Linked DNA regions of Arabidopsis thaliana. The protein of the gene in region 1 interacts with the protein of each later gene in a pairwise test. Each region holds a gene or a part of one and is shown on either strand. Other genes may lie near its edges.

Region 1 (5,239 bases):
GACGACCTCAGCGGGAATCATGGATCATGAAGAAGCTAGGAGAAAGAACGTTGGTGGCAAAGTTCTTGGGTTCTTTTACTGAAGCAGGGTCTCGAGATCTATCTTATCGGGTTATAGTTTGGTTCTCTGTAAGTCGATTGACCTCACTGTCAAAGTAGTAGTTTTATATGTTGTGGTCACTCGGATACGTAAAAACTTGGAGATGAGTAGACTAATTAATTTCAGTTTTTGAATTCGTTAGACTTGCGATTTATGAAATCAAAATCATCTTTCTTGACTTATCGTTATATGTGGCATTTACTCATTTTAGTCTCGTGCTCTTCTTGTTTGTTTTCTTAAAACATTTTAATATGTTTTTCATTTACAATGTTCATCAAAATACAAACAAATCTCTGAGGGAACTGTGAAAATTCGAAAAAGATTTTAGAAATACTGACAAAATAAGTTAAAATTCTAAGAAACAAAATTTAATAGTTTTCCTTCCAACAAGGTTTCTATGCTACATAGGTATAATTTTAGGTATTCTTCGTTAATAAATTTGAAGGAAATAACTAATAACGCACAAAAACCCTAAATCAAAAACCTAAGAAGACGTTTACCAGAAACAAAAAAACTAAGAAGACAATGACGACGAAAGAGAAGAATAAATCATCAAACTCACCGCCTCCGACGTCGTTTTCTTCGTTACCGGACGACATCGTTCTCAACTGTTTGGCTCGTGTCTCCAGATTCCATTATCCAACTCTATCCCTAGTCTGCAAGGGTTTCCGATCACTCCTAGACTCCCGTGAGCTCCACGCAACACGATCTTGCATCGGAAAAACCGAGAGTTTCCTCTACGTCTGCTTAGACCTGCATAGGAATTGCTATCCAGACTGTCCTCCACGATGGTTTATAGTTTCCCCGATTACCAAACAGAAACTGAAACCTATCCCTTCGGTTACTTGTCAATCCTCAACCGTTGTATCAATCGGTTCAAAGATTTACATAATCGGAGGCTTCGTTGATGGACATAGTAGCAGGAGATTGATAGTACTCGATTGTCCATCTCATGGATGGCGTAGACTCCCCGAGATGCGTGTACCTCGACAAAACGCAGCAGCTGATGTAATCAACGATAAGATCTACGTGATTGGAGGCTCTAGTTCCAACAATATCGAGGATTGGGGAGAGGTTTATGACCCAAAGACCCAAACTTGGGAGCCAGTATTGCCCACAACACTAGATCTTACTGTTCAAATGAGTGTGGTTCCAGGTAGCTTGGTAATGAGTGGGAAAGTTTATGACATGAATGGATTGAAGCTTAACTTTCAGAAGAATATTTGCTTGGTGGAGATAGAGAACATGATGTGCCAAACAAAGGTTTGTGAAGGGGTGTTAGTTTGGTGTGAACCAGAGGAAGATCGTGGGTGGTGTCCGGTTGATGGACTTGAAGGACTTCCCAATAGGCCAACTTCTCCTGGTTATCTTACCTCGGTGGCACATTCCGACCGAGGAAGAAGAGTAACAGTTTGGTGGGAGTCGGCTGTGTTACATCGTCTAGGTCCCAAATGGACTAAGGAATGTAAAACAGAGATTTGGTGTGCAGAGATTTCGTTTGAGAGACGCGGTGTTGGAAAGGTTTGTGGATTTGTTGAATGGTCTAAGAATGTCTTTACTAAGGATGACTACAAAACTTATAAGTTACCTGCTTCTCTTTCTGATTTCTTCTTGAATTCTACCATTGTGACATATTGATCAATGGAAGTTTATGTTAATTTTTGAGAGAGTTTTAAATTCTTTTGTGGGGATTTTGTTTAGAACATCTTGAGTATAGATTTTATGATAATGAACGAAAATACTGGTGGTGTTTATGTATCTCTAATAAATATGCAGTTGCGTAAGAACATAAACATCAACACACTTCTTATGAAAGAGTTATATATTGTTGAAAAGTATAGTTGTATAGTAGTAGTATATATTTCCAAAGATGACTTCAGATTACATTAGTATACAGTAGTAGTATTTGATACCAAATATAAAAATAAAAATTACTATAGCATTGTTTTAGTCCAGCTAATTGATTTTAAAGTAATTAATAAAAGGCCCATAAGGCTTCGTGCCTTCTTCTTTCTATATAGGCCCTTCAAAAAAGAATCCTTCTCTCTTTTTCTGCGCACTCCTTCGTTTCCAACTAACGTGCGCAGTGTATCCTATCGTGCACGCGAAGCAGACGAAGAAGAAGTAAAATAGAAGAAGCCGGGAAACAAAAGCTAAATCGGGAACTGGCGCATTTTAGTCGTCCGCCATAACCTTCGCTCTCTGATTCTTCCGATTACATCGGTTTTCTTCTCTCTCCGGTACATGATCTTCTTCTTTCCCGCAGCCGATTCATTCGATTTCTCCCTCTTTTGTTTGATCTAATTCGATTTCGATGAAACTCAGATTTTGATCTTTGAGTTTTTGTTTCCTTTAGATTCAATGGCTGCTCCACCTGCTAGAGCCAGAGCTGATTACGATTATCTCATTAAGCTTCTTTTGATTGGAGATAGCGGTACGTTGATCTGAAACCTCTCCGATGTTTTTATCGTCGATCCGTTGAAATTTGTTGAATCTGTTTGATTTCCATTGAATCGATCTATTCCACTGTGATTTTTGTTTGTGATTAGATCGTTGTGTGGATCGGTGTTTGTATTGAGAGATCTCTGTAACCTAAGGTTTTTTTTTTTTGTTGCAGGTGTTGGTAAAAGTTGTCTTCTTCTACGTTTCTCTGATGGATCTTTCACCACTAGCTTCATTACCACCATTGGGTTTGTGTTTTCTCTTTGCTTATGGAGATAAATTGAATTCTGTGATGTTTGTTTTGGATTCTGTTTTTACAGAGTCTTGTTTCTCTATTTTGCTTTGATGTAGCATTGACTTTAAGATAAGAACGATTGAGCTTGACGGTAAACGTATCAAGCTTCAGATTTGGGATACCGCTGGTCAAGAGCGGTTTCGGACTATCACCACTGGTGAGTTCATCTTTTTCATAAGAATTGCTTGCTGGATTAGTACTTAGAGCATTCACAACATCAGTAATGAATCAGATTAGATAGATTCTCGAGGAGATGAACACTTACATGTGCTATGATCTCTTGTACAATGCCACTTGACTGATTTATTTTGTTTGGCTGATTACTTTACTTGGTCTTGTATAGTTGATGTTTATGGGCTATTTTCGACACTTCATAGTTCATCTTTTCGTATAAATGTACTCACTGATCACTTTGCTTAGCATTCACCATCACAATAGAAGTCAAGTTAGAAAGATTGTCAAGATGAGATTGATGACAAACGCCTATAAGTAGTCTAAGATAGCCACTTATAGTTCTAGGTAAAGGGGATGCATTTGTGCAATGCCAATTTACTGATTTGCTCTTTTTGGCTGGTTACTTTTGTAGGTACTGTCTAGTTGATATTATTAGGATATTTAGGCAGTTTATACTGATCTGTTTCTGTTGTTTCAACACCATTTTGACGATTCTTTTTCTCTCGCATTTTCGCAGCTTATTACCGTGGGGCAATGGGCATTTTGCTGGTGTATGATGTCACAGACGAGTCATCCTTCAACAGTAAAACTCCCACCATCAAGTCTTTCACTTACTGGTTTCTATAAATCTCCTTAACCAAAATGAACATCTCTTTTACTAACACGATTCTTGACGTTATTGCAGACATTAGGAACTGGATTCGTAATATCGAACAGCATGCTTCGGATAATGTTAACAAGATCTTGGTAGGGAACAAGGCTGACATGGATGAAAGCAAGAGGGTATGAAGCACACCACCTTTATCCCTGTTCCTTATTCACGACTGATCCTAATAATAATAGCTTCTTGGTCCTGTCAAAATTTTCAGGCAGTACCTACAGCAAAGGGTCAGGCTCTTGCTGATGAGTACGGAATTAAGTTCTTCGAAACAGTAAGTCTAACAATGCTCTCAATCTTCGAAACTAGATGGGTAGTGTTTACATTGCTTACACATCTAGCTATATATGTGTTGTTGTTGCAGAGTGCCAAGACAAACCTAAACGTGGAAGAAGTTTTCTTCTCAATAGGGAGGGACATTAAGCAGAGGCTTTCAGACACCGACTCGAGGGCAGAGGTTTGTTACATCTCTCTCTTTCACATCTTTGCGTTGTTAGGTCTGAAAACGCATTGATCATTCATGTTACGTGGTCAATTGCAGCCTGCAACGATCAAGATAAGCCAAACGGACCAAGCAGCTGGAGCAGGGCAGGCCACACAGAAATCTGCATGCTGTGGAACTTAAAAAAGTTTTAAAAGTGAAGTTTAAGTCGAAAAAAGTTTGGGGGTGAAGTGAAAAACTAAGATATCGTTGGGTGCTTATGTAATTTTTTGTTTTATGCCAACAATTCTGATTCGTTCTTCTAAATTGTCCTTCCTATTTGTACGAAGGTTTAATCGAAACTTGTATTTTTCTTTTCTATTACTGATTTTTTATGACGGTGACTGAATTGTTTATGTTGGTCATCACTTCTCTCTATATATCCTCTGTTCTTAATTTTTCTCTTGCTTCCTCTTTTATCAAGTCTTTAAACATTACTTCTAATACTCGTAAACTCATCTTTGACACAACCATAAGCAATACAAAACCATAATATGTACACTGCCTGATTTATGAGTCGTAAACGTATAATTGTGTTAGCAATCCAGTGATGAAGAAACTTATCATGTTTTAGTTGCACTACAGTTACTATAGCTGACACTTATATTGTAGTTTCAACACCAGTTAAACCATTCTCATAGTTCAACAACATTCTAGGGTTAATAAAACGTGAAACCAAAATTTAGCGAACAAGAAAATAAATCTTGAATAGTATATCAGATTGTATTCAGATCATGTATTCACATCGAATAGTAAGATAAATGGATCAACAAAGACTAAAACCATGTAAAAAGTACTACTCTATGTAAGATTATCAATAAAACTAAAACCCTAACGAACATGAAAAATCAGTACATCGTTCTTCCCAACTCCAATTCCGTGTTGACAAAGCTCTCCACCGAAGTTAAGTCGAAATCCAAACACGCCACTCTCTTCCCACTACTCGATTTCTTCAAAGTCGTCACCGTTGTCGTCTCCGGCATGAAAGAATGCGTAACCAATACGTTAGAAGCCTTTTCTCGTTCTTTCTCGTTCCTATGTTTCCTCATGTGACCACCAAGAGCTTGTCCCATCGGAAACTCCAAGCCAC
Region 2 (4,024 bases), on another chromosome or scaffold:
TTTTTCTTTGTTTCAAACTATACTATAAAAATAAATTATTATTCCATGGTTACTTTTTTGAAGACGTTTAGTCCGAGACTTTTGGTACTCTCATTGGACTCTTCCCAGCTCAAATTGCGCGCCAACTAACAAACTGTAGCTTTTGCCTTCGCAAAGAACAATTTCTAAGTCACTGGCATTGACAAATCCCAAGTTCAAGGAGATTCTAGTTTCCGAGGTCAATACAACTTAGGATATTGCTTTGCTTTTGGTTATAGAGATATTTGCGACTAAGACTTTGTACTTTTTTGTAATTTACTAATTTTCGTTGATGGAAGATGTCAAATTGGTGACTTATACCGTAAGCTAAAACCCTTAAAAAGATAAGAATGTAAGGTGGATTGTCACCCAATACTATTAATTTTAGGTAAGTAACAAATCATTTTTAAAACGAAGCTTCCTTGTTGGCTTAGGGTATACGCCACCAATTCGATATTTCATAGACATTGGGCCTTTGCCGAACTGGACTCGAAAAGAAGTAAATGAGCTTATACTGGGCCGGACTCGAGTACGAAGCCCAATACTAAAGCTGCTCATCGAATTATTTGTGCATCGCATTTGCTCCGACCCACGATTTCAAGTCAAGTCAAGTAGCGTAAATGCGTAATGTGGATATTGTTCTGCTGCTCATCCTCAATAGGAAGTAATTTCCTTTCGTTAAATCCTACGACTCTGATCCAGGTCTGTCTTATGATGGGTGCTTTTGAAAACTGGTGAAATTTGGATGGATCTTGCATGCACATGCATCCAAATTTGACTCTTTTGATTGTATACACGCAGTGCAATGTAGTCACATAACAAATCAAAAGATGGCTACAAGTTCTAATAAACAGATCCATTGCATTTTGAATTTGATCATGAAATAAATCCATATCTTCCAAAACAACACTTGTAAATTAAAAAAGGCTAAAGATTAACACAAAACGGTAGTAAAACTTCATCAAATCAAAATCATGCAAAGATATATATTTCATCTATAGCTATTGCCCATGAACAAGAACCAAAATTAGGCCAGATCCACAACATTTTCACGTTTATTGTTTTCAGATTAAAAAAACAAAATCTAAGTATCAAATTCAACAAATGAATCATATAGAAAGATTTACCCAGGCGAGGGAATGGTAGATCGGAATCGCATTTACACGCGAGCGGCGATAACAGCAGGCGCGGCTGAAGAGGCGGCACCACCGAGGAAAGAGAGGAATCCGGTAGCAGCAGGCTCTTGCTCATCAAGGAAAAGATCTTCCGGAGCTCTAAAAGCACCATGAGCACAGATCAACGCAACACCAATCATCATAGCCGAAACCAGAACAGATCCAACATCGGTGAGGAAGATCACAAAGATACTGAACAAAATCAAACACCCTAACGTCTCACGATCGGAGAATGTACGACCGAATAGAACGATCGGCTGATCCGTGGGACGGAACAAGTAGAGGAAGAGCCACGACGCGAGGAGACAGAGGAGGAAGACGAGAGAGAAAGGATGAGTGACGAGAGAGAATCCGACGATCGCTGTAGCGACGGTGAGGTAATTAACCTTGAAATACGAGTAATTCTTGCGGATACGAACAGCAGCGTCGGAGATCGACTCAGGTTTGGATAATGCGGAACGATCCGCGAGCTCAGCCCAAGGACGACGCTTAGAGAGACCGTTTTTAACGGTTTCGGTGATCTGATTGATGAAATTGCGGAAAGCTGGAGTAGCGATCGGTGGTTGAGATTCGACGGAGGAAGGAGCGGCGGATGGAACGGTTTGGGGATTGGAGATTGGGAGGACTGGTGGTGCTGAGGAAGCCATTGGAGATCAAGTTTGGTAGATCTGAGAAAGAGAGAAGAATTAGGGTTGAAGAAATTGAAGAATTGGGCAAGATCTGATTAATAAATTAAAGAGGGAAGGAGAGATAGATTTGTTTTATATACGGGTATGAGAAAATTGTTGACCTTCCTATTTCTTTCGTTGCTACGGGTCACCGACAATAAACGTGACTCTTTTCCTTTTTGGTTTTCCTATTATTATTTGATTTAATTATGATCTATATTAGGTTAAATCTCGTGTTTTAGGGAGATAAATGTTAAAGAGTTTTATATTTATATCTATTTTTTCCAAAATTTTAAAAGTGAATGAAACTATTATATTGAATTTTATTTTTCCGATAACGGTATATTACTATTTAATCAAGATTTATTAAGGTAATGGATACATTCTATGATTTTTGGAGGAGCTTATGTTATGGACAGTTGACCGGACACGTATACCAACTAATCTCATGGTAATCTCAAGCAAAATCACAGATGACTGCTCGTACGTCAAGTGTCTTTCGTTTATGATGAAAAGCAGGACTGGGAATATTCTCTTAGCTCAGCCTGAGAACTTGGCTCATGATGATGATTTATCACAATCGCTTCTTAGTCAAGTAACTGCAGTGTGGCTTTGGACAAGCCTATCATATGGAGGAAAGCCTATCTTCAATCGTGGGATCTCACAACTGGTCACCAAGAAGTGGACAAGTACTTCAGTTCAAGGGGAGACTTCAGTTAACCAATAACAGAAACGATGATGGTTATGAGACAGAGGATTACACAAAGGTGGGTGAGTCATCTTCAACACAGAGAACACCAATAACCATGTCTCGCTCCCGGCTCCACAAGAGATTTCGCCGCGGCTGAGATTGGCGTCTTCTGGGACATGGAGGTTGGTGATTGGGACTTGGGAGTGAACTCTTTTAACTCTTTTATTCAAATCTTTCAGTTTGTTTTCTTTCAATGAAAAGCTGATGGAAAGTCTCAGTAGTTTTGATCAATGCGTTATTGATTAGGCAGTCTTGTTGATTTCTTGAGATGTAAGTCATTTAAATCTCTTGTCTACTACAATGGTTTTGTGGCTTAAAGAGGTGTCAGAGAGTTGGCCAAAACAGAGGCGAATGCAGAGTCAAGTGTTTTGGCAATTTGTCAATGCTATATCATATGTGGCTACTACTGCAGCTATACACATTGCCAACAACAATCCATTGTTTCATTAACGCACCAAAGTCATATTGTGAGAAGAAGAATCCAAGCTACTTTGATCATGGCTCTACACTTACGAAGAGAGAATTAACTAGGAGATGTGTTTACAAAACCATTGTTTCCTAATCATGTTCCAAGTCTCATTGGATATTAGATACTACCTCAGTTTAAAATGATAAGTTTGTTAGTCCCTTGAGTCATATGATGATTTAGTTAGTCTCTTAACTGATTGTTCTATGTATACATATTAACTCTCAGAGTATAAAAGAAGCTTTGTAATAGAATTAAGTTACTGAAAAATTCCATACTTCATCATCTTCTCTGTTTCGTTTCTCTGTCAATGCTAATATGGTCGTATTGGGATTAATTAGCCTAGATTAGCATTATAATAAAGCACTTGATGATACACTTTGTTTTCTTAAACTACTGGTTCACGTACAAAACAGAAAGAAGTCATCAACAGATTCAAAATATCACCTTAAGTTCAAAGCTATCTTTTTCTTCTTCTTCTTGTTCTTGCTCTCTTTGTTCAACAACACAGAGATCTTAGCAAATCCGAAACTCTTTCTCTTTCGAGTCTTCGTCCTTTTCTCATTCTCTTTCCCTTCACTTCTCTTGCTTACAGTTTTATCACTACTGCTATTCTTTGCAAGCATCTGACCCAACGACATTTTTCTTCTCTCATTAGCAACATTCATATCTGAATCCTCTGCAAGAAGTAGCTTCTTGCTCAGTATTTGTCCTATTGACATTGTTGGTTTCAAGACTGGGACCGTTGAAGAAGATGATGACCCGTCAACAACATCGTATGTCAGATGCAGACCGTTTACATCCATCAGACGTGTTGTTGTCTCTCTTCTGCTCTTGAACTTGGAAGTGTTGTTCACCGAAGAAGATAATCTTCTCCTCTGTCCATTCTCTGACCGCCATTTTCGCAGCGCCTCTTCTGCTTCGATCTTCGAAGCATTTGCAGCGT
Region 3 (5,871 bases), about 15 Mb from region 1:
GGAGCATGCTAATACAATAAGCTATTAAGATTTTTCCTGACCCATTGAACTATGAAATAATCTAATTCACCCACAGATCTGGAGTTCCTGATGGTCAACCCAAATTACTACTATCTCTTGTCCCGGATTACCCATTGTTGAACTTCATGCTCACTACTTCGATTTACGTCGCTGTAAGCAAACCCTGCTACAACAGATAGAAACAAGTTGAAAGCCAGACAGATACAAACAAACTGATTGGCTTTTTGTTGCTCTGTTTTCAGATCTCTTATAGGCTCTTTGAGCTTACCAACACTTTGAAAACAGCCTTCATACCAACCAAGGACGACAAACGCCTTGTCTACAACACGATCTCAGCACTCATAATCTGCACTTGTCTCTACTTTTTCTCATTTATTCTTATCACAATTCCCCAAAAACTGGTAAGTCAAAATTTTATCTTTTTGTGTGGGAGAAAGCTTTTTTTTCCCTGGTACTTGAGTTCATTGATATGTTAGTGCATACACAAAGCGAGGACGAATGTCATCCTCTCATATTCGATTGAACCATCTCACGTTTTATTATTTCACTGGAAACAAACAGGTGTGAAGCACTTCTGAACCGGACCAGAGTGGACTATTCGAATGAATTCATAGGAGTTGAACTACGCGATATGGTAGATATACGAAGATAGAAATCAGAGGTAGATGCATACAATGTTGCTGTAATGTCATCTTTCTGTATATTTATTTATGAATAAGGTGTTCTTTCTTGTTTATTTGTGTTTCTGTTCACGATGATGTTAAGACTTATTATTGTCTATTACAAGTTAAAGGAAATCCATATGAGTAATTGTATAGCTATAAAATCCAGATTAATCTTACATCAAAGTAAAATATGATGGACTTGCAAAAGCCATTACTTTAATGTAAGGAAACATTGATATACTTAGATAGAAAGTGTAGTCATAGCATGTGTGTCAAGCTTGTCCTCTATTGCTCGGTAGGCAGAGAAAGTGTCCGAGTCTTCCCATTTGGAGAAATTATACGCGGGCCCAAAGGAAAGCAAAAAATGAGGTACTGATATTAAAAACAATAACAGTACCTTATAGTCACCCCGGTATAGATTGTTAGACATGCTAAAGAGACAAGATAACCAACCGAGGAAGAGCGTGTACAAAGCATGTCCGATCTCCATCCTAAACTTATCCGATAGCTGAATCAGCCCTAACCCTCCGGTGAACAACGAGATGGTGAATAACGACATGGACAATTCAAACTCTTTGTTTGTCAATAGCTCATATATTAAGGGCAATGCCAACGCTAAATTTGCGGAAAATGTCGAAAACAAAACCTGAGGTACTCTCTCCAACTTTGTAGTAAACTCCTTGTAGCAAGCGGAAGGAGGAGCGGTGAAAAAAAGATATCTGAGTAGCGTCACTGCGTAGAATGTTGTGACACTGACCGCACCGTCCCTAAAGGACTGAGACGATGAATCTCCAGGTGGCCAGAGAAGATTGAGTGATTTGGAGAGGCCAAAAAGTGAGAGTAGAGTCATTATATACCATATTCCTCTGCAAACAAACACATCCATATCACTAATCTTCTTCTCCATCGTGTGTGTGTTTTTACTAGGACTATGGGGTTTCGGAGATTTAATAGTCGTCGTGAATTCGTTTTTCGATTTCTTTTATTTAGTTAGTTAAATCTGCTTTTATCCAGAAGAATGTGGTATATCTCTATTATTAGTTAAAAGTGGTTAGAAGATTTTCATAATCACAACAAACAAAAGAAATCTTCGCAATCTTTATCTAACACTTTTTTTTTTCAAGATATATAAAATTCTTTTATATTCAACAAAGAAAATAGTTCAAAAAATCACATTATAAGTGGACCACTGACCAGTAAAGTGAACGAAGAAAGTATAAACTCTATTTTCTTCAATTAAACCGTTTATATAAAAAAAAAAATCATATTTTAAGTTTCTAACATAAGAAAAACAGTAGACCCTATAGTCTATGCGTTGATTAAGAAGATGGGCCATGTTGGGCCGATTCACACTTACCTCTTTTATTCATTTACATCTTAGGCCCATTACGTTTGTATATGTAATGTAAGAAGAAACTTCTTCTTCTCTTGAACCTCTTCCTCGATTCTCCTCACTCATCTCAACATCTTCCCAGATTATTCAACGCTCGTGTATCGATCAAGCTACTGAAGTCACGTTGGTTCGACTTTTGATACACAAATCTGTTCGAGCCACCATGATCGACATCCCTCCTTACCCGCCGCTTGATCCTTCCAACTACGATCTCATTGTCGTCGGCACCGGAGTCTCTGAGTCCGTCTTAGCCGCCGCTGCTTCCTCCTCCGGTAGTTCTGTTCTCCACCTCGACCCTAACCCCTTCTACGGCTCTCACTTCGCCTCTCTTTCCCTTCCCGATCTCACTTCTTTCCTTCACTCAAACTCCGTTTCTCCTCCTCCGTCGCCGTCATCTCCTCCTCTCCCTCCGTCAAACAACCATGATTTTATCTCCGTGGATCTCGTTAACCGATCCTTGTATTCCTCCGTGGAGATTTCGAGCTTCGAATCGGAGATCCTCGAAGAACACTCTAGAAGATTCAACGTTGACTTGGCTGGTCCTAGGGTTGTCTTCTGTGCCGATGAATCAATTAATCTCATGCTGAAATCAGGAGCTAACAACTACGTTGAGTTCAAGAGCATCGATGCCAGCTTCGTTGGGGATTCGAGCGGTGAGCTACGAAATGTGCCGGATTCGAGAGCTGCTATATTCAAGGACAAGAGCTTGACTCTGTTGGAGAAGAATCAGCTCATGAAATTCTTCAAGCTTGTTCAAAGTCACTTGGCTTCTTCTACCGAAAAAGATGATTCAACAACAGTCAAGATATCGGAGGAAGATATGGAGAGTCCATTTGTGGACTTCTTGTCAAAGATGCGTTTACCACCCAAAATCAAATCGTATAACCTCCTTCTCTGTTAATGGCAGCTCTTTGGACATTTGTCTCTGCTTAATGCTTCTTAGAATTTTGTCTCTGAAATGTTGATAGGTAAGGCTTTGTTTCCTCTTCTTCTGTGTAGGATCATCTTGTATGCCATTGCGATGCTAGATTATGATCAAGACAATACGGAAACTTGTAGACATTTACTCAAGACCAAAGAGGGGATAGATCGATTGGCTCTATACATCACATCTATGGGCAGGTCATTCATCATTTTCTCATTCCTGGCTCTTACACATTTGTGATCATCTTTCTTATTGGTTTACATTATCATTGGTTATATTGAGTATAATTTAGCTTTTGATTCTCTACCTTAGGTTTTCTAACGCACTTGGGGCGTTGATATACCCAATTTATGGACAAGGAGAACTTCCACAAGCCTTTTGTCGTCGGGCTGCTGTCAAAGGATGTATCTATGTACGTTTGGAACAATTTTCTGCATTGTGTACTGTGTTGCTGTTGTGGTATTTGTTACTTATTTAGTCTTTCATTGTTTTCACAGGTTCTCCGGATGCCTATTACTGCTCTGCTTTTAGACAAGGCAAGTTAGCTGACAGTTGTAGCATAAGATAAGTTTAGTTGACGGAAAGGATTCTTACTTGATTATTTTAAACTCTTTTTGCAGGAAACTGGGGGTTACAAAGGGGTTAGATTAGCTTCTGGTCAAGAGATATTCAGCCAAAAGTTGATTCTGGATCCATGTGTTACTGTTGGATTAGAGTCTCTGTCGTCATTGACAGATCAGCAAAATGAAACTCTCAGTGTTCTTGTCCCAAAGTCGATGATCAATAAGGAGAAAATTGCAAGAGGAGTATGCGTCATTAGAGGTTCTGTGAAAGCTAATGTATCAAACGCTCTTGTCGTTTATCCACCTAAATGTAAGCTAATTTTTGAAGACCCACTAGTTAGTTGTTTCACTTACATGTATATCGTCTTTTGCGTTTTGAAGGTTCTAACATTAATAGTTTTTTCCTCTTAGCTTTGTTTCCAGAACAGCTAACTGCAATTCGGGTTCTGCAGCTTGGTAGTGGTTTAGCGGTTTGTCCTGCTGACATGTAAGTTGTGGTTTAGCCTAAGATGATCTTTTCCCATTTTAGTTCTGTTTCTTTCCATTTGCTTAGCTTTAACTGTTCTCTAAGCCATATATATTTGCTGCTGCAGGCATGTTTTATATCTTTCAACTTTGTGCGACAATGATGACCAAGGGATAAAGGCGCTATTATCAGCCATGAGTAATCTCATCAGTTTGCCTGTTCCCGAGAATCGTCAAAGCGATTCCGTTGTTGAGAATGATACTTCTGAGACAAAACCTATTCTACTCTGGAGAGCACTGTACGTGCAAGAGCTAGTCAAGGTGGAAAATGTGATTGGGAATTTACCTTTTCATTTCGACGTTGGTAATGTCATTTTCACTAAATAAAAGTTTGATTTGGATCAGGGTGAATTTGGAGGTACGATCAGTTCCATGCCTAGTCCAGATGGAAACTTGAACTACAATGAGATAGTGGAATCAGCCGTGAAGGTTAGTAGAAGCTCCTTACAGCAGTTATCTCATTAAGTTATGGTTTTGATAATGTTATCATATTGGATTTGGTAGCTATATGAAAAGCTCATGGGGAGTGAAGAATTATTTAAAGAAGAGACCTCACCGGCGGAGAACACAACGGAGGAGGAAAACGATGGTGGTGTTGAAATAGAAGATTGATTGATGAATGAAACCATTGGTTTTAAAGACTTAGAATACCCATTTATTTATTTGATTGTAACATATAGTTACCCCGTTATTAGAGGGGAAGCAGGAAGATTGGCAGAGGGAGGGTGAGCCATTTTCTTTACTTATTCACTAGAGAGCAACTATGATTAGGGAAGAAATAAAGGATTGAGAAGAAGTGATTAATCCACGACCGCTTGTCTAACCATTGAAACTCCACAAACTTTAAATCAACGACTAAAAAGAAATAATGAATTTGTATAGAAATTAATTTATTCAGACATCTTTTACCGATCACAACCATAATCGTTCTATGTTTCTCTTTGAATAAACACTTCCGATTTCGTATATTTCGACTCCAATTCTGATTTTCATGGCCAAGTCCAGAAACTTAAAAAATCAAGGAAGATATCATTATCGACTAGGAAATTTGACTTTGAAGTCAAGATTAAGAATTTGAATGCTTTTTTCGAGATCGTTGGGTTAATGTTATCATATGTAATGTGGTGCCAAGCTCTCATTATGAGGCCCAATTATGAGGGTTTGGTTATTCTCTGGAGAGAATCGTCAATCGTTTATCCAATCCCAAAGGTTGACACTTGACAGAATTTAAAGCCCATTGGGTCTGAATTAGCGTCGGAATTGGACCCGAAATAATTCTATCAATTAAAGATTAAAACAGAACTACACGCGTGTAGGAATTTAAAATACAAAACCACTCGCATCACAGGCGCGTTTCGGCGCGTGAGACTATAATCCGTGGACTATAACCCTCCTTTTCGGGGATTTTTGCATAAATTTAAAATTGAAAAGACTTGCAGCGCGTGGGACGAGATTTCATTTGTTGTATAACTTATTGTTCACGACTAGTTTTTTTTTTTTTTTTTTTGCCTAAAGGTCTTTCTATTGACTTTTTATCATAAAATGGAACATTACAAAATAGGTCAAGCCCAACTAGATGATTACAAAATTTTAAAACTGAAACTAAAAAGGCCCAACCCCAATAAAGGGATACCAAACCCAACTTGAAGAGAGGCATGAAAGCTAAAAGGATTAGACCAAAAGCCCAAACCACTATAGTTTATTTACATGAGAATATAACAAGACGAAAAGAACTATTACCGTGTGTTATCTTCTGCTCAGATTATGGTCCGAAATTAT
Region 4 (4,863 bases), on another chromosome or scaffold:
CACCAGAAGCGATTTTCTCCACACCGTGAGTGTCGTACACGCTCCTCCAATATCTGCGGCAGCGACGGAGACTGTGGACTCTGTAGATGACGGTGCATCTTCACCGTGGACCGACCTCGACCGTTGCTTCAAGAAAGGGAACATTTTTGTAGTTTTGGTGTTCTTGGTTAACTATTTTAAGAGAGTTTTACAGATCTAATTAATCTCAATTCTCAATACAAATATGGTAAGGTTAGGTATACATATGAGATATATATATATAGATCTAATATATATGTGTGTGGATGAAAGATATTAGCTTTGTTATATTATATCATTGTCTTATTATATTATAATTTTTTTCTTCTTTATATCAACTTGCAAAGTTTTTAAATATCGCTACTTGATATTTAAATGCGACCACAAATAATACTTAGTGACAAAACTGTACTATTCTACAAAATATAAAAATAAGAATTTCACCTAAAAAGCTTTAAACGTTTTATTAATTATGAGTCAAAATTTTTAGTGTTATTTGAAAAATAATACAATATGATAAGATATTATACCATTCTATAAGTTAATTAGAATTTTTTTTAAGTTAATGAATACAGGTCATTAGATTTTTTTTTATCACATTACAAATACAAATTTAACGTACGTAACATTTACATTTAGTGGACTAGAACTCAAATCACCCTATTACAGCTTGCATATATAGTAAATTGTTTTTGTTTTATAAGTCCAAAAGGATTAGTCTAAATTACATTGTTTGGTTATCAAAGAAATTAAAATAAAAAATTAGATAAAATTAATCGAAAATGAAAACTTAACATGAAGGTTGAAATCTCCAAATTATTTACTCATCCTTTTTACCAAACTCAAATATGATATTTTTTTCTATACGTAAAACTCAAAATTGTATATACAAGAAATTTAGCTATCTAAAAATAACTATATAATAAGCCATTATAGTAAGCCACAATTTTGACCATCTACGATCTTTTCTTTTGTACGTAGTAAGGTTTGGTGCAAACTTTTGCAAGTAATTAGTATATAGCTCTTATGGATATGGTATATTCCTGATATGAACTCTGATTGGGTAATGATTAGCACTTAGCAAGGTAGTCAGATTTTTGGCTTTGGCACGCATGGGTTTCACTGTTTCAGGATTGAATTGGAATTTTTTTTTGATTAATTAATGTATAATATTTTATACAATATAAAAATATATTACTGTATTAGGTAAGAACTTTACGACAAAAAAAAAAAAATAGGTAAGAACTTTAAGATTATGCAAGGGTCTTAAAACGAGCCACGTAATCTTCTTAGACCCACGATAGTAGATTTTTGAGGTCTCCAAGAATCTCTTATCCTTTTTGTCATCGAATCTCTCTCTCTTTCTGAAGATATATTAAGAAACAAATCTCTCTTTTTCTTCGAAAAGGTTGGTTAGGTGAAGGACAATTCTCATCCACACGATTAGATGCATAAAATTATATATATAAGAAGAAAATCTAATTATATGAAATGGTGGAATTTCATGTCACACTAGACGACGAATCTTCCATATTAAACTCACTTCTAACACTGCATGTGTATGTAATTATGTATATGAATGAATATCCAAATAGAATAATATATTTGGACTAATCAAATTATTGGAAAAGTACATAAATAAATAAGTGAGCTTTCATTGTCAAACCTGATTTTGTTGATCTCTGGGTTTGCCATTACTCCAAAAAATCTTACCTTCAAGAGTGATGTCGACACAGTGGAGCACACGTGTTGTAACACGTGTCATGACTCAGCTCAAAATTGGATCCCACGGAAGAAGTTAGATCTCGAGGCCAAGAGACCAGAGTCATCAATTCAAACCCCACGTGCGTGAGAGTCACTGACTATTCTCCTCTTATCTTCCGGGTCTTCGAAATCCAATATCTCCAAAACGCAGCGTCTTGGTTAATTTTTGAGATGTCAATATATATAATCTGTGACCTTGTAATGTTTAATCAACAGGTGTATGATCATCTTTCATCTAGGAGCATTTTCATTCTATCAACATATTCTCATAACAATTTTACTATGCCTAACAATTTTTTATTTTTACTATGAAATGGATCAGTAATAAATGGGCCTTAATACTGTACCAACAATCCCATAAATGGGCCCAATGCTGGATCCTATCCGCCGACATCTAACGTTCCACTAACGGAGACGTTATCGGGAATATTCACATTAATTAACGACCGTTAGTTCCACGCCAAATATGTTACATCTGCTACAAAATAAATAGTTTGATTTTCCACCGTGGACGGTTACCTACTCGAGGCCCAGACCCGAATCAAACGGACTGGATTAAATGTTTTAAATCAAGGGGTGGGATTAAATCTGAAGCACACGCTTTTATTCGTCACAGTCTCCTCCCACACTCTTCAATCAGTAAAGAGTTTTAGGTTTTTTTTTCTTCTTCTCGGAGGTTTGTAGAATCAACAAAAATGGTGGAAGACCACAAGCACGAGGAATCGATCTTGGAGAAGATTGTTGAGAAGATCCATGGCCACGGTGACTCGTCTTCTCTGTCCGATTCCGACGACGATAAGAAATCTACATCGTCTTCGTCGTCGTCCTTCAAGTCAAAGATTTACCGACTTTTCGGAAGGGAGAAACCTGTTCACAAGGTTCTCGGTGGTGGAAAACGTATGGATCTATCTCTATTTCTTCACTTTGAACTCTGATTTTACTCGATTTTGTATCTTACATAGTGATTTTGCTCGATCTAGTGAATGTTGCTCTAATTTGAAGCTAAAATTGAGTGTATTTGAGTGCTTAATTGTCTGCTTTGCTCGAAAGTACGCTTAAATCTTGTGAAATACTCAGAAACTATGTTGAATCTGGATTCATTGTTTGCATGTAGCTGCTGATATATTCCTTTGGAGGAACAAGAAGGTATCTGGTGGAGTCTTGGGTGCTGTAACTGCGTCTTGGGTCTTATTCGAGTTATTCGAATACCATCTCCTCGCTTTTCTCTGTCACTTTGCGATTTTTGCTCTTGCAGCATTGTTCTTGTGGTCTAATGCTTGTACATTCATCCACAAGTATGTTCTTACAACATCCCTTATATGTTAAGTGTTAAGTATGAGATAACTGCCTGATCAACTGAGTTCTTATCCTCAGGTCAACTCCTCACATCCCGGAAGTTCACATCCCTGAAGATCCTATTCTTCAACTTGTTTCTGGATTAAGGATTGAAATCAATCGTGGTTTGACCCTTCTTAGGAACATTGCATCAGGAAAAGATGTCAAGAAATTTATCCTGGTATTGTTCATGTTATCTACCTCGATGCAAAGCGGTTTTCTTATGTTCCTCATAAATGCTAATACTTGCTTGCACATGTTTTAGGTAATTGCTGGCTTGTGGGTTTTGTCCATTATTGGCAGCTGCTACAACTTCTTGACATTGTTCTACACTGGTAACGATTCATTTACATCTTACTGCATTTAATCTGATAGGAATCATACTTGCATATCTTGATAACCAGCTTTTCTTTCTTGCTTCCAGCTACTGTCCTTCTCTTCACCATTCCTGTACTCTACGAGAAGTATGAGGACAAAGTAGATGCCTATGGGGAGAAGGCGATGAGGGAGATCAAAAAGCAATATGCAGTACTTGATGAGAAGGTATTGCGTAAGGTCATAAGCAAGATTCCAAGAGGAGCTCTGAACAAGAAGAAGGATTAAGGAATGTGAGTTACTCTCTCATTGGAATCGTAGTAATGGTTCAAGACATGTTTTGTTAGAAGCTGTTGGTTGATAAACCCTTTGATCTCTTGTTATTATTATGTTCATTATAAATTTGGGGGTTTTAACTAAAAATATTTAGATTATGAGAGAACACGGATGGATGATAATTATTGTTGTTAGTTATTTGTCTTAGTTAATTTCTCATCCTTTTAACAGCTCTCCATGATGGTATTCGTCATGTCAATTTTGCATCATGTCTGAGGATTGGTCCATACACATAAACTCAAATTGTTTCGTGGGTTTTTCGCTCTTCACTGCTACTGCGATCTAACTTTAGTTCATAAGAATCTTTCTTGTTTTTATTTGACTAATAATATTCTTCCCATTCCATCTCTTTCATCATCTCAACATCTTGTTCATAGGAAAAGCTAAAATGATTGGTATATGAACTAGGTTAAACGCAATTTGATAATTTTCCAAAAAAATTTGTTCATAATTCTTTTGCCAAAATTGCGATTTCACGATTTCTCGACAAAAATAATCACACAAAAAGTGGATTCCACAATACCAAACGCTTTCGGTATGATAACCATCAAATCTGGATAATTACTTAAAGTAAGCAACATACGTAAGGTAGACAACTAGGTGTTAATCACTATATATAGTTTGTAGTAGAAAACAATATCAAAAGTCAGGATGGCCGAGTGGTCTAAGGCGCCAGACTCAAGTTCTGGTCCTCGTAAGAGGGCGTGGGTTCAAACCCCACTTCTGACATTTCTGTTTTTAGTTTTATGTTCAATGACTGGATTTTTAAATTTATTATTTTTCCGATTAAAGTAGATAACTTTTTTTACAACAACCATTATTTTTTTTTTTGTCATCATTTAACCATTTACTTTCAAAAGCAAAAAAACTTAAAGATGAACAGTGACGACAAAAAAGAAAGAAAAGATGAAACAGTGAAAGCCAAGTACAGTCATTTTGATTAAACCGTATTCATTAACCAACTTTTCACTAACTATGGTAAACCAACCCCTGACCCGAACCGAACCGTTCTTGTTTTTAACCAATGATTCATTCAATCAGAGTCTTTATCCGTAGAAGTCAATACCTCCGTCTCAGCCGCACCCAAATCCGGAG

What was found.
Region 2: the proteins of RABE1c (region 1) and PRA1.B4 interact in a two-hybrid assay, tested with the Arabidopsis thaliana proteins (one large-scale study listed by BioGRID).
Region 3: the proteins of RABE1c (region 1) and REP interact in a two-hybrid assay, tested with the Arabidopsis thaliana proteins (one large-scale study listed by BioGRID).
Region 4: the proteins of RABE1c (region 1) and BTI3 interact in a two-hybrid assay, tested with the Arabidopsis thaliana proteins (one large-scale study listed by BioGRID).

The regions. Positions count from the first base shown.
Region 1 is NC_003074.8:16,915,448-16,920,686, forward strand, and holds RABE1c (RAB GTPase homolog 8A), read left to right. Parts: upstream 1-2,079; 5' UTR 2,080-2,339; exon of another isoform or gene 2,340-2,455; 5' UTR 2,456-2,460; coding exon 2,461-2,533; intron 2,534-2,716; coding exon 2,717-2,789; intron 2,790-2,892; coding exon 2,893-2,993; intron 2,994-3,527; coding exon 3,528-3,593; intron 3,594-3,695; coding exon 3,696-3,793; intron 3,794-3,879; coding exon 3,880-3,942; intron 3,943-4,032; coding exon 4,033-4,125; intron 4,126-4,209; coding exon 4,210-4,293; 3' UTR 4,294-4,571; downstream 4,572-5,239. Other genes in the region: RPS15AD (ribosomal protein S15A D), read left to right, coding at 1-82; AT3G46050 (Galactose oxidase/kelch repeat superfamily protein), read left to right, coding at 625-1,737; AT3G46070 (C2H2-type zinc finger family protein), read right to left, coding at 4,998-5,239. UniProt on the Arabidopsis thaliana protein: Involved in membrane trafficking from the Golgi to the plasma membrane.
Region 2 is NC_003071.7:16,068,663-16,072,686, forward strand, and holds PRA1.B4 (prenylated RAB acceptor 1.B4), read right to left. Parts: upstream 2,003-4,024; 5' UTR 1,841-2,002; coding exon 1,178-1,840; 3' UTR 724-1,177; downstream 1-723. Other genes in the region: AT2G38350 (uncharacterized protein), read left to right, coding at 407-646; AT2G38365 (endonuclease/glycosyl hydrolase), read left to right, coding at 2,268-2,588; AT2G38370 (weak chloroplast movement under blue light protein (DUF827)), read right to left, coding at 3,522-4,024. UniProt on the Arabidopsis thaliana protein: May be involved in both secretory and endocytic intracellular trafficking in the endosomal/prevacuolar compartments.
Region 3 is NC_003074.8:2,034,034-2,039,904, reverse strand, and holds REP (Rab escort protein), read left to right. Parts: upstream 1-2,113; 5' UTR 2,114-2,242; coding exon 2,243-2,958; intron 2,959-3,078; coding exon 3,079-3,201; intron 3,202-3,316; coding exon 3,317-3,416; intron 3,417-3,501; coding exon 3,502-3,540; intron 3,541-3,624; coding exon 3,625-3,877; intron 3,878-3,978; coding exon 3,979-4,054; intron 4,055-4,160; coding exon 4,161-4,353; intron 4,354-4,437; coding exon 4,438-4,521; intron 4,522-4,596; coding exon 4,597-4,704; 3' UTR 4,705-4,992; downstream 4,993-5,871. Other genes in the region: RWA2 (O-acetyltransferase family protein), read left to right, coding at 77-173, 264-497; AT3G06545 (uncharacterized protein), read right to left, coding at 928-1,004, 1,095-1,593. UniProt on the Arabidopsis thaliana protein: Substrate-binding subunit of the Rab geranylgeranyltransferase (GGTase) complex. Binds unprenylated Rab proteins and presents the substrate peptide to the catalytic component composed of the alpha subunit RGTA and the beta subunit RGTB.
Region 4 is NC_003076.8:16,633,753-16,638,615, forward strand, and holds BTI3 (VIRB2-interacting protein 3), read left to right. Parts: upstream 1-2,276; 5' UTR 2,277-2,477; coding exon 2,478-2,679; intron 2,680-2,896; coding exon 2,897-3,077; intron 3,078-3,156; coding exon 3,157-3,298; intron 3,299-3,382; coding exon 3,383-3,452; intron 3,453-3,541; coding exon 3,542-3,720; 3' UTR 3,721-4,156; downstream 4,157-4,863. Other genes in the region: AT5G41590 (LURP-one-like protein (DUF567)), read right to left, coding at 1-144; CHX18 (cation/H+ exchanger 18), read right to left, coding at 4,802-4,863. UniProt on the Arabidopsis thaliana protein: Plays a role in the Agrobacterium-mediated plant transformation via its interaction with VirB2, the major component of the T-pilus.